Linked DNA regions of Canis lupus familiaris. The protein of the gene in region 1 interacts with the protein of each later gene in a pairwise test. Links are inferred from orthologs where the notes say so. Each region holds a gene or a part of one and is shown in the gene's direction. Other genes may lie near its edges.

Region 1 (4,231 bases):
CTCTATTATTAACATTAGCATAATACATTTGTTACAATTAAGGAACCAATATTGATATAATTAACAAAGTCCATATTCATTCAGGGTTTTTGTTGTTGTTGTTGTTGTTTAGTTTTTGCCTGAAGTCCGTTTTCCCTTCCAGGATCCCATTCAGCTTAAAAAGCTACACTGAGTTGTTTGCCATGTTATATCTACATTACACTTAGTTGTCATGTCTCCTTAGGTTCCTCTTGGTTTTGACATTCACCTTCATTTTTGGGGTTTTAAACTGGTTTGAAAATCTGATGAAAGCCATGGATCCTCTCCAGAGAAAAACGCTCATGCTTCAGAGGTCTAATTTAGGGGAGGTCCACCCACAACAGATTCAGAAGCCCGGCTTTAGGAGGAAAAAGTGATCTTTAAAATATCCCCTCCCCCACAATAGAGCTCAAAGTCTGGCTTTACCTTTACTTTGTTCTGCGACCTTTTTGCATAGCTGTTTTCCTACTTGGACCTCAGTTTCACCATCTGTGAAACGAAGGGTTTGGTTTCCTCGATGTCTAAATCCTTTTCTAGCACAGTGGAAGGCGGGCGTCACCTAGAATTGTCTACATCAGAGTAACAAAGGCTGATAACAGACCAAGCCAGGTCAGGTCAGGGAAGTGGATGGGCTTATCAAAAAGAAGGGTTGCAGAGGTTCACTGGCGGAAAAGGCAAAACCTAGGTTCCACTTGATGGCTTTGTGGATTTTGTAAGTCATTTCCTTCCCCTGAGCTTCAATTTCCTCATCTGCAAAAATGTAGAGGATCTGCTTCTGGTAGTTATGAAACTCCTAAGAGCAACAGTGGAGAATGTACCTAGTAAGATATCGTGTGAGGAATTATAATAAGAAAAAAGATGGAGAAGGTGGCTGAGCGCACGAGTGAAGGGCGGATTTAAGGAGAGCGAGGCAGGGCTGAGGGCTCTGGAGAAGAGGAACAGAGTACACACCTTAGGGCTCTCGGACCACACCCTCACAGGGCCGAGGTCAATTCAACCTACGTGCCAGCTCCGCCTCCGCCCTTCCCATCCCCTCCCCTTAGGCTGCGACACGCCACACTTCTCATGGCAGTCGCTGTGCGACGCTTTCCACCGAGCAAGGGCCGCGCGCGCTCTCGCGCCGCCACCTCACTGCCAGCCCTGCCCGCCCTTGACTTCTTCCGATTGGTTCTCACATAAGTGACGTAAGTGCTCCTTATTCCACCCCCGTCACTTCCCCAGGGTTCCGCCCCGCCTCCTCCTTGCTTCTCCCGATTCGCGTGGCAACCTAACCTGCCCTGGCCTCCGCCGCGCGGTAGGAGCCGGGAGAGCAGGCTAAACCAGGAAGGCGCTGGCTTGTGGCACGCACGCGCACGCACGCACGCACGCCGGCGGCCGGCGGGGCGGCACGCTCGCGCCCGGGCTCGCCGCGCGCCGCGCTAGAGGCTCGCGCACTCAGCAGGTTGGGCTGCGGCGGCGGCAGCTGTGGGAGCTGAGGCGCTGCGCGTGAGAGGTCCCAGACGCGTCTGCGGCTCCAGTTCTGCCACCCTCCCCTTCTCCCACCCCAGTCTCGGTGCCAGGTGCTGAGAAGGGAAGGGCGCTAGCCTTGGGAACCTCGAGCACACCCCTGGCTGCTTCCGATACCGCCATCCTTCCTTCCCCAGCCGCGGGCCTCGCTCGGTGCCAGGCGACTCTGCGGGGAGGCGGCGGCGACCTCTGCCTGTCTGTGGGGAGGAGCCCTGTCCTGCAGCCTTGCTCCGCCGCCGGGCCCTAGAGGGTCCGAGAGAGCTCGGTGTCGGTCCTTCGTCTCGCCTTTTTCGTCAGCCGGTGGGAGCAGCGTCGGTCCGAGAGGTCTCTGGGCTGAGGCGGCGGCAGCTCCTCCGGCTCCATCATGTCCGCGGGCGGAGACTTCGGGAATCCGCTGAGGAAATTCAAGCTTGTGTTCCTGGGGGAGCAGAGCGGTGAGTGCGCGGCTCCCCCCCTCCTGGCAGCTGGCCGCGGCTTCCCCGCACCGCCCCCAGTGCGGCCCTTCTGTCCGCGAAGGCTGTCTACCAGCCTCGCGTTCGCGTTTCGTGCTCATTACCCCCAGCCCTGCCCGGGGTTTTCCGACCCCCTTTAGCTACCAGCTCCTCTTCGTCTTGGTCCGTCGGTCAGATTTTGATCCTCTGTCCGCGGCTCCGACATCTCCTTCCCCCCCCCGCAGCCCGGGCCTCTCCCGTCGACCTGCCCCCCCACACCCCCGCCCCAGTCTCACCCCGCCCAGCCCAGCCTGCTGTCCATCCCTTTCTTCCTCCGGCCTCCGTCGTCTCACCAACCGTAGCCCCCTTCTTGGAGCCCCACCCTTATTCTTTGCTTTTATCCCAGATCGTCAGCTCTGTGAAGGCCCACCCCGGGAGGCCCCACTCCCGGGAACCGTCACTCCTCAACCTTGGACGAGGAGGGTGGGGGGATTAGGGCGTTGTTTTCCTTAGAGGCTTGGCCCTGGGAAGTGCGGATCTTATGGGAGGTGGGAAGTGGCGGGGGGTGTCGTAGAAATTCTTGGATTGTTTTTACTTAGGTGGGGAATTAGTTTGGGTTATGGAGAATATATGTCTGAATTGGAGGCGACTTGAAGATGGAGTGGTTGGAGGGTAAGAGGGGTGGCGGCGGCAGGGGCAATTTTTGCTTCTTGGGTTAGGCTGTGGCTTGTTAGAAAACCTCATTTTCTTCTCATGACTTTGATTCCCTGACAATTCTTTTGGCACTGTTGGCGCTTTCGCGATCTCTGCCAGATGCTATGTCATGATCATTTTACTTGGAATTTCTCACATCTCACCTCCTCCTTTTCTCCTTTCAATATGAAGCAGTGTATGATTCTTTATGATGGTGCAAACAAGAATTACCAGAGAAATAGTAATTATTCAATTTCTTCTGAGTGTTTTCCAATTGTATATTTAGGATTCCTGTGAGAGAAGGCCTGAGAATAACCAACATCTTTGTTTTCTAGGATTTCCTTTGGGGCCAGGGAGTAATGGAGTAGAGTAGAATAGATTCATCATCTAGTTATCTAAATTAGACTTCAGTATGTAATACCGTTTCGGCTAAACGACCCTTTTATGCTTAATATTCCATAGTATGTGATAAGTGGAATGATCTTACCTAGCTAGGCTTCTGCTGTTGCTTACTTTGTATTAAATACAAGCTCCTAGTTTTGTGATGGCTTTCTCTCAAATTATTTCTCGTGGTGATTCTGATTTTATGCTGAATTATAAAACTTGGCGCTCAACAATGTAGAAATTATTGTCCTCTTTTGTTTTTTTTTCACATTTTTCATGACCATCTTTAAAATTCAGACATTGAGAGATTAGTTCCTCCCAAGTCATCAGACATTGAGTTAACTGCTAGGTACCTTACTTAGGTTAGGCTGTAGAGAGGACAATTTCTTTTGATTGGAAAGCAGATAACAGTTATAAATTCAGAGCTTTTACTACCACCTTGAACTGTTTATACTAATATATATATATACACACACATATATATACATATATATATATATGGCATTAAGGTAGGTTAACATTAGTTGAGAAATTGCTTCCAATTGGAGAAATCGTTTTTCTCTTTTCACATATAATCTTTACCCCCCTCCCTGGTTACCGAGGAAAAATATAGTCTCCTCTTTGCTTTGTGAATTTTCCTGAGCAAGTATAAGCTTGTTTCTTGAAGTAACTTGGTAAGATCTTTGAGAGTGATCCTAGTTTAGGAATTTTATGGCAGTTTTAGGACAATGCCATGCTTAAGATACAGTGTATTGGTCATTATTGATAAATAGGATCTAATGTGCTTATTGTACACTCTAGGGATGTTAATTATTTATTTACTTATTTTTCCTAGGGATGTTATTGCTAGCCTTATGTTGTGATGCAGAGCTATTCAGTTTGCATGAAAAATCCTTAATCTCTGTCCTAGGAAGGTATTAGTATGAGTAGCAATCATAACTTCAGTATCTGCAAGTTTCTTGTTAATTCCTTGAGTATTTATATTCTAATTCGTATTGCAGAGTTCTGTGGCTTCTCATTTCTTACTTTGAGTTTTGACAACAACCCCCATATAGTTCTTGAAGTCATCTTAGATTTTTTTTAAAGATTTATTTATTTATGATAGACATAGAGAGAGAGAGAGGCAGAGACACAAGAGGAGGGAGAAGCAGGCTCCATGCTGGGAGCTGGACGCGGGACTCGATCCCGGAACTCCAGGA
Region 2 (3,643 bases), on another chromosome or scaffold:
GTGCGTATTCTGTCCTCACCCTCCTCTTCCCTGGGGCTCCGCCTACCCTGGGTAACCCACAGTTGTGTCTTCAGCCTGCCAGTCTATTCTGCATCGTGGACGGCTGCTAATCCCTGCAGTGAGTGCTCCCCTCGCATCACTCTGTGATTCCATCTTGCATACCTTCCATGGCCTCAGGGTCGCCGCCCCGTGTGTGCCGGCTTCGGCCTGCATCCTGAGCCCCCAGCTACCATGGCGCCAGTCTGAGCCATGCTCACTGCTGTGGCCTGCTGGTTTCCCTGAGTGCGAGATGGTGCTGTTGTTATTCCTGTGCGTTGTTCGGGGATGTGGTCTGAAGCCTACAGCTGTGTAGGTCACAACCTGCTCCACCTCCTTGCCCCCGCCGCTGGTGACTCCATGTGGTCCACCTGGGTGGTGCCCTCACAGGTTCGCACTGACTGTCCCCTCTGTCCGCAGGTCTGCTGCCTTTGCTGCCTTGTCCACCGTCTTGCAGCACTGCCTCCTCCCTGAAGGCCTCCTGGCCTGCTCCCCACCATCTCCTCCAGCACCATGGCCACGGGCCCTTTGAGGCAGATGAGGGCTGTCCTGGAGCTTGCTTGTGCCCTGTGCCTCACTACTTGGTTGTCCTATGACTTGAAAATTGACACAAAGTTCCCAGTTAATGATCACTTTTGCATGAGGAGCCACTCCCAGTCCCTGTGACTGTCCTCTTAGCTCAGCAGGAGGTACCAGTCTCTGGGCCGTGGCTGGCAGGCCTGGATGGCTGGCAGGCCTGGACGTGCATGTGCACACGCTTGCATGCATCACCGCGTTGAGCTGTCTGGCCTTGGGACAGCCTCTAATGGTTGACTCCACACCCAGTGGGATGTCCACACTCCAATTTGAGGCTGTGCGTGTAATTGGCCCTGGCCACCTGGTTGGGCTTGTCTGCAGGCTCAGGGGGAAGCCCTCAGCTGGCCGGGGCTCTCCAGCACACCTGCCCTGTGGGTCAGGTCCTTGCTCTGCTTCCAGAAGTTAGGTAGGTTTTGCTTACCCCAGGCTGCTGTGCAGCTAGGGGTCAGGGCCACTGCCCAGGCTGGGCAAGTCCTGTGTAGACTTTTTATCTACTGAGACAGAAGAGGACAGCACCCGGAGTCTCAGAGCAGAGCTGACTTGGTTTGAAAAGAAATGGGCGTTTTCACAGAATGCTGACCCCAACCAGACTGTGCTTCCTTTAGCCAGGCCCCACCAGCTTTCTACGGTTTGGTTCTTTATGTCAGAAGGTGGTCCTGTGCAGTAACAGCCTTCCCCTTATGCCTGTTTTCCCAGTTTTCTTGGACAGAATTCCTAGGTTTCATCTCAGATAGTGAAATAAGTGAAAATGCCCGTTTCTTTCAAGAAATAAAGACATCAACTCTTCCTTCTTCAAGAGCCCTCCCAGTGAGCAGGGAGGCTGTAAGGAGTCTGCATGGGGTAGCCAGTGAGGGGGGAGGCCCATGGGGGTTGTCCTGGTGACTGGTCTTGGGCCTAGGCTGAGACTGGTCGGCTACACCATGCCAGGTGTACCCGCCTCCTCCCTGGGAGCCCTCCCTTGGCCTGGGGTGGGGGTGGGGATGGGGATGGGGTGGGGATGGGGGCATCTTCTCCCCTCTGGGCCTGGTGGGGTTAGGGCGTCCTCTCAGCTCTCCTCCAGACACTGGGCAGGTGGGCGGGGTCTCCCGCTGGGGCACACACGCTGGTCTGTCGACTGGTTCACCTTCCCATCTCCTCTCTTGGCCCACACCTGGGCTCACACCCTCCCAGGCCGCCCTGGCCTGTTTCTCCATCTGAAGTGGGGCAGAGGGGTGCTATGTGGGCCTCAGATCTGCCCTGGTCCTAGGACAGGACTTCTCTGCCCCACTCCTGGGTCAGCAGCCTGACTCCCGAAAGGGTCCGTGCTGCTGGGGGTCCCAGGGCCACCTCATCGTCTGGGTCATTCCTTGCCTGGCCCCACTTGGCCATCAGCCCCACCTCACTCCTCCCTGGCTCTGTTCCCACCTGACCACTAGCCCTGCTGCCCTGTGTAGCCCTCAGGTGTCCTGCACTCCCTCGTCCATGGCCCACCCCCTGTATCCCCCCCAACCCTAGTGTCCCCACCGGGGTGTCCTCCTCAGGGCTTGCAGGCGGCGGCCTCTGTCTTACGAGAATCTGGTCTCTGCGCAGGCGTTTGGACAGGCGCACACGAACCACAAGAAGGTGGCCGCGGATGGTGAGAGCCGGGAGGAGAGTCTGATCCAGGAGTCGGCCTCCAAGGAACAGTACTACGTGCGAAAGGTGCTGGAGCTGCAGACGGAGCTGAAGCAGCTGCGGAACGTGCTCACCAACACACAGTCGGAGAATGAGCGCCTGGCATCCGTGGCGCAGGAGCTGAAGGAGGTACCGGCGAGCCCAGGGGAGGGCAGGGCAGGTGTGTCGTGCCTTCCGCATGTGGCCATCCTCAAGGGGGGTGAGCGAGCTCGGGGCAGTGGGTGTGGCCTGGAGTCTGTGGGGGCTGTTCTGGCCGTGGCCTAAGGCCCCTGGCTTCTCATCAGCAAGAGCGAGGGGCCTCGTTCTGGGCCACGGGGACCTGCTCTCTGCCCTGTGTACTTTGGGGGCAGGGACAGCCGACCAGATGGACGGGTGGTTCTGAGGTCCACGCTTCGACATCAGGGCCACCCGAGGCTGGCAGGGGGCTCCTGTGGTGTGAGACGCAGCCCAGGGGCTGGCAGCAGTGGAGAACGGTCACCTACCCTGGCTTGGGGTCACAGTTCATGCAGGTCTGCAGGCCTGGGAAGAACTGGGCTTGGATCCAGGGGGTGGGCAGGCCTCAGATGTGTGGAGCCAGAGTTCGTGAGTTCATTTCTTCCCGTGGGATTACCGGGATTACCACGGTGGGGGTGAGGGGAGGGCCTCTGGGAATGCAGGGTGACCTCACCAAGGTGGTTGCAGCCTCGCCCCACCAGGTGGCCTCACCTGGCCAGGGCTGTTTGGCTCCTCATGTCTGAGCCATGGGGAGAGCCCCGGTAAGCTGCTGACTCCTGGCTTTGGGTGTCAGGACATGAGCTCAACTGGTCCTGTAGGAAGCAGGTTTGTGGGGCTGGGATTCCTGTCATTCCTGTTGGTGCTTCAGGAGGAAGCCGGCCACTCCCCACCCCATGCACGCTCAGCCACCTTTTTCTCTCAGGGCCCTGCCTCCCGCCCCACAGGCCCAGCCCCATCCGCACCCTGTTCCTATCGCTCTTATGCTGGTCCTGGGCATGTGGCTGCCCTGAGCTGCTGTGCCAGGCTCCCTCCTGGCCTCTGAAGTGGCCGTCCCCTCTCCCCATGAGGCTGGCACCCACGGCCAGGCCTGGTGGAGGAGCCAGGACTACATGCATGTAATGACATGCACTGCCCCCAGGAGGCCACTCTCCACCTGCCTTGGTGTGACGTGCAAGCTGTGCGGGGTCACCCCCTGGGGCATCCCCTCTTTGAGGGTAGCTGTAGTTCCCAGTGCCCGGTCCAGCTGCCATGCCCATTTCATGCTATGCCAGCTGTACCATGCCCTCTGACCAAACCCCAACAGCTTAATGCCGGCTTTCCGGGAGGACCTCGTGGCCTCTGTAGTGCAATTTGTGTGAGGTGTGCTCAGCACATGGGATGGTTC
Region 3 (3,643 bases), on another chromosome or scaffold:
CTCTGGTGGGGACTCTTAACCTCCCTGGGGACCCACCTGCCTGCTGGGACAGCAAGGGTACAGTAGGCAGGGGCTTCACATCCCACTTTTCTGCTTTTCTAGGAGAGGGAGGAAAAGAGGGTTCATTCATTACCTCTCCATCCTTTAGCCCAGGAAATAGGCTCAGAAAAGTCACACAACCAGGCCTGGAACCCATGGGGCCTGCCTTTCTCTCTCATATTGGGTCACATCAGGCGTTAAACTCATGTCCTTCCTGGCCCACATCAGGCCCCAAACCACTGGCCACTGCCTGCCTCTCTCCATTCCAGTCCTACCCAACTTGGACTGACTGAAATGCAGGGCTAGCACTCTACTCCCCTGCTTCAAAATCTCAGTGGTTCTCAGTTCCCCCAGGATGTGTCCAGACTCTCTCCCAGGCCATCTGTGAGTTGGCTGTCCTATCAGGCTCTCGCTGCTCCTTCGGCAAGGTGGGGACTGCCCCTGCACTGCGCGATCCTTCCACCCGTGTGGTGCTGGCCCCTGTTAGCATGGCAGCCAAGATGCTGCCCTGCTAGGCCCTGCATGGCTGTTTGCCCGTGGCCCCAACAGGGCCAGGCCAGGGGTCCTTGGCCTAATGAGCAAATGCCTCCTTAGTCCAGGTCTGCAGATCTGCTGCGGACTTACAAGGTCCTGACCCAGGAGTGGGGTACAGCAGGGGACTCCTCAGCACTGCTGAGTCCCCCAACCCCCTGCACATAGGAGGTGCCCAGTCCACGTCGCCGTGTGGCTGGTGCTGTGGCTATGCCTGGCATCCTGCTGACCTTCCAGCACCCACTGCTGTGCTGTAACAGGGCTTCACCTGCTCCTGGCTCCTCATGCTCCTCTCTCATGTCCGATTTGCTTGTTGAGCTGGGGAGAGCAGTTGGGACTGAGCCCTGCCCTGAGGTGGACCTTGGGACTTGGGCCTGCCCCATCCCCTCAAACTCCTCCTCATGCCTCCACTCCAAGGGCTCCTTTGGATACCCTGACCACACCCCCATTGGCAGGTTCCGGCCAAGTTCAGTCACAGACTTCTGGATTCAGGCCCTGGCTCTGCCACCAAGGCTGGATGACCTTGAATAAGGCACAGCCATTCACTGAGCCTCGGTTTCCTCATCTGTAAAGGGGGGGTCACGGTATCCACCTCGGAGACCCTGAGCTCCCACAGTTGTGTGCCCAGCACAGGGCCTGGCACACAGCAACCCTCTGAGCCTCAGTCTGTTCCCTCCCCACCTGCAGAAGGAGAAGATTCGCGAGAAGTTCGTGGAAGCCCTGAAAACAGAGTTTGCTGGCAAAGGGCTGAGGTTCTCTCGAGGTACATCCATCCATTCATCCTGGGAAGGGTATGAGAGCCTGACACAGAAGCCAGTCCACGGCCTCGCTCCCAGTGCCTTTAGAAAGCCTTCCTGCCACCCCCCCACCCGGTCTTACCCACCGAAACCCAGTCCACACCCTGCCACCCTCCTAATTGCTCAGGTCAGAAAACCAAAGCATCTCCCTCAGTGTTTCTCCTCACCCTTTCCCAAGTGCAGTCCACTAGCAAGTCCCAGGGCCTATATCCAGAATGCTTCTTGAATCTGACCACGGTTCACACCTCTGCCAAATTAGTTCTTGGACTCGGGCTAACTAACATAGCTGTCCTCCCACTGCCTAGTGTCCAGAGGGATACCCCTGCTCAGAGCCCTTCCTGGACCCCAGGGCCTGCATGGCCTAACCCTTTCCCTGTCCCAGCCTTCTCTAGTGCTGGGAAACTCCATGCCCTTCTCCACCATAGCAGGCAAGGACTAGGCCTGATTCCCCGCTATTGCCACTCTGGCTCAGCCCTTAGTACCACCTCCTGGAAAGGTCTCCCCAGCAGTGCTGGTCTGGCTTGTTGACTGCCTGTTCTCCCCACACCAGGATCACAACTCAGTGAGAATCCTGAGTCTCCCATGCCCTGTGGCTGGCTCTGAGCAGGCACTCAAGGGTGGTTGAATGAATGAATGAGTGAGTGAATGAATGAATGAAGCACCTTGCCCAAGTTCACCCCATCGGCCACCCCTCTGTTAGTCTTGTCTACCACCCCCCCACAGGAGGCATGATCAGCTTTGACGTCTTCCCCGAGGGCTGGGACAAGCGCTACTGTCTGGACAGCCTGGACCAGGACAGCTTCGACACCATTCACTTCTTTGGGAACGAGACCAGCCCTGTGAGTGTGGCGCATCCAGGTGCCTTCCACCCCAAATTGTGCCCGGGTCAAAGCTAGGACGCAGGGCAACAGAGCACATTCCCAGGAGACTCCCTGAGAACAGCCTGTGTTCGCCAACCCCATTACACAGATTGGAAGACTGGGGCCTAGCGCTGGCTGGTCACTTGTCCCATGCCACACAGAAAATCAGGGCAGGTCTGGTGAAGACTGAAAAGATGGGGTTCTGGGTGGTTCTGAGGGGTAGGGGGAGAGGCAGCTCTGCCGGAGCCAATATGGGGAAGGGCCCCATGCCAGGGTGTGTGATGGGCCTTAGCCCTGGGCAACTCCTCCAGGTACCACATATGTATGTGTCTTCTCTGCCCTTCATTGTGTGCAGGGTGGGAATGACTTTGAGATCTACGCTGACCCCCGGACCGTCGGCCACAGTGTGGTGTCCCCACAGGATACAGTACAGCGATGCCGTGAAATTTTTTTCCCAGAGACAGCCCATGAGGCGTGACCAGGGCCCATGCCTGCTCCTAGGGACTGCTTCTAGGGATTTCCTGAGAACTCCACCCAGGCCTAAAGAGAGCCCCTGACCCTGGTGTTGGGTGGGGTGCCAGGGCCCCTCTGGCTCAGGATGCCTGCCTCATTACCTACCGCAAGGCCCACCTTGATGGGGCCAGGGTCCGCGTGGATAACCGTCCCCAGCCGGTCAGCGCCCAGCGGGACCAGCTCCGCCCTCCAACCCGACAGCCCTGGCTACAGCTGCTGCTTGTACTTGTAAACAGAACAGATTTCTGTCTATGCCGGGAGTAGGCATGTGCTTGTGTTCGTACGAGATAGAGCCCACCCTGCTTATCTGTCCCAGGCAGGGTGCAGAGCACTGGGGAAGGTGTGTATTTGCCAGAACTTTATCTCACAAATATTAAAGTTCCTGGAACAAGGTATGGTGTCCGTTCTGTCTGAAAAATTGGCCCGTCTCAGGTCATGTTACAACCGCACTTAACAGATGAGGGAACCGAGGCAGAGATGGCAGGGACTCCCCTCACCCCTCTGCCGGGTCACACAGGATGTCGTTGATGTGCTTGAGGAGAGTGGGCCGTGAAAGCCCTAAATAAAGGTTGTGTGGGGTACCCTCCCCAAGCCATTCCCCTGGGACCCAGACAGACAGAGGCATCCCTGGGCCAGGCTGAGTCACAGTTGAGGGTTTATTGCCAGTGTTAGGAAGGATGGGGGGCGTCCAGGCGGCTGGGGGTCTTGGGAGGATTTCGGACTCGACACTGCGGGGCTGTGGGTATGCAGGAGCCTGCCGTCCCTCTGCCTCCTAGGCAGCCACATCTTATCTCCTGGCTAGTGCCTAAAAATGGGGGGGTCTGCTCACAGGAGGGAGTCTTGGGGGCTCCCAGGAGTTAACCTGCACCGATAAACCTACTGAGGAAGCCAGGAAGTCCTTGT

The links.
Region 2: the proteins of RAB6A (region 1) and BICD2 interact in binary tests that used the Homo sapiens proteins (3 or more experiments, as listed by UniProt). The link is inferred for Canis lupus familiaris from reciprocal best matches to the Homo sapiens genes RAB6A and BICD2.
Region 3: the proteins of RAB6A (region 1) and PMM1 interact in binary tests that used the Homo sapiens proteins (3 or more experiments, as listed by UniProt). The two-hybrid records come from large-scale screens. The link is inferred for Canis lupus familiaris from reciprocal best matches to the Homo sapiens genes RAB6A and PMM1.

Annotation. Positions count from the first base shown.
Region 1 is NC_049242.1:24,607,974-24,612,204, forward strand, and holds the start of RAB6A (ras-related protein Rab-6A), read left to right. Parts: upstream 1-1,404; 5' UTR 1,405-1,888; coding exon 1,889-1,958; intron 1,959-4,231. UniProt on the Homo sapiens protein: The small GTPases Rab are key regulators of intracellular membrane trafficking, from the formation of transport vesicles to their fusion with membranes.
Region 2 is NC_049222.1:99,442,231-99,445,873, forward strand, and holds part of BICD2 (protein bicaudal D homolog 2), read left to right. Parts: intron 1-2,181; coding exon 2,182-2,394; intron 2,395-3,643. UniProt on the Homo sapiens protein: Acts as an adapter protein linking the dynein motor complex to various cargos and converts dynein from a non-processive to a highly processive motor in the presence of dynactin.
Region 3 is NC_049231.1:24,660,564-24,664,206, forward strand, and holds the end of PMM1 (phosphomannomutase 1), read left to right. Parts: intron 1-1,257; coding exon 1,258-1,333; intron 1,334-2,090; coding exon 2,091-2,206; intron 2,207-2,582; coding exon 2,583-2,705; 3' UTR 2,706-3,133; downstream 3,134-3,643. UniProt on the Homo sapiens protein: Involved in the synthesis of the GDP-mannose and dolichol-phosphate-mannose required for a number of critical mannosyl transfer reactions. In addition, may be responsible for the degradation of glucose-1,6-bisphosphate in ischemic brain.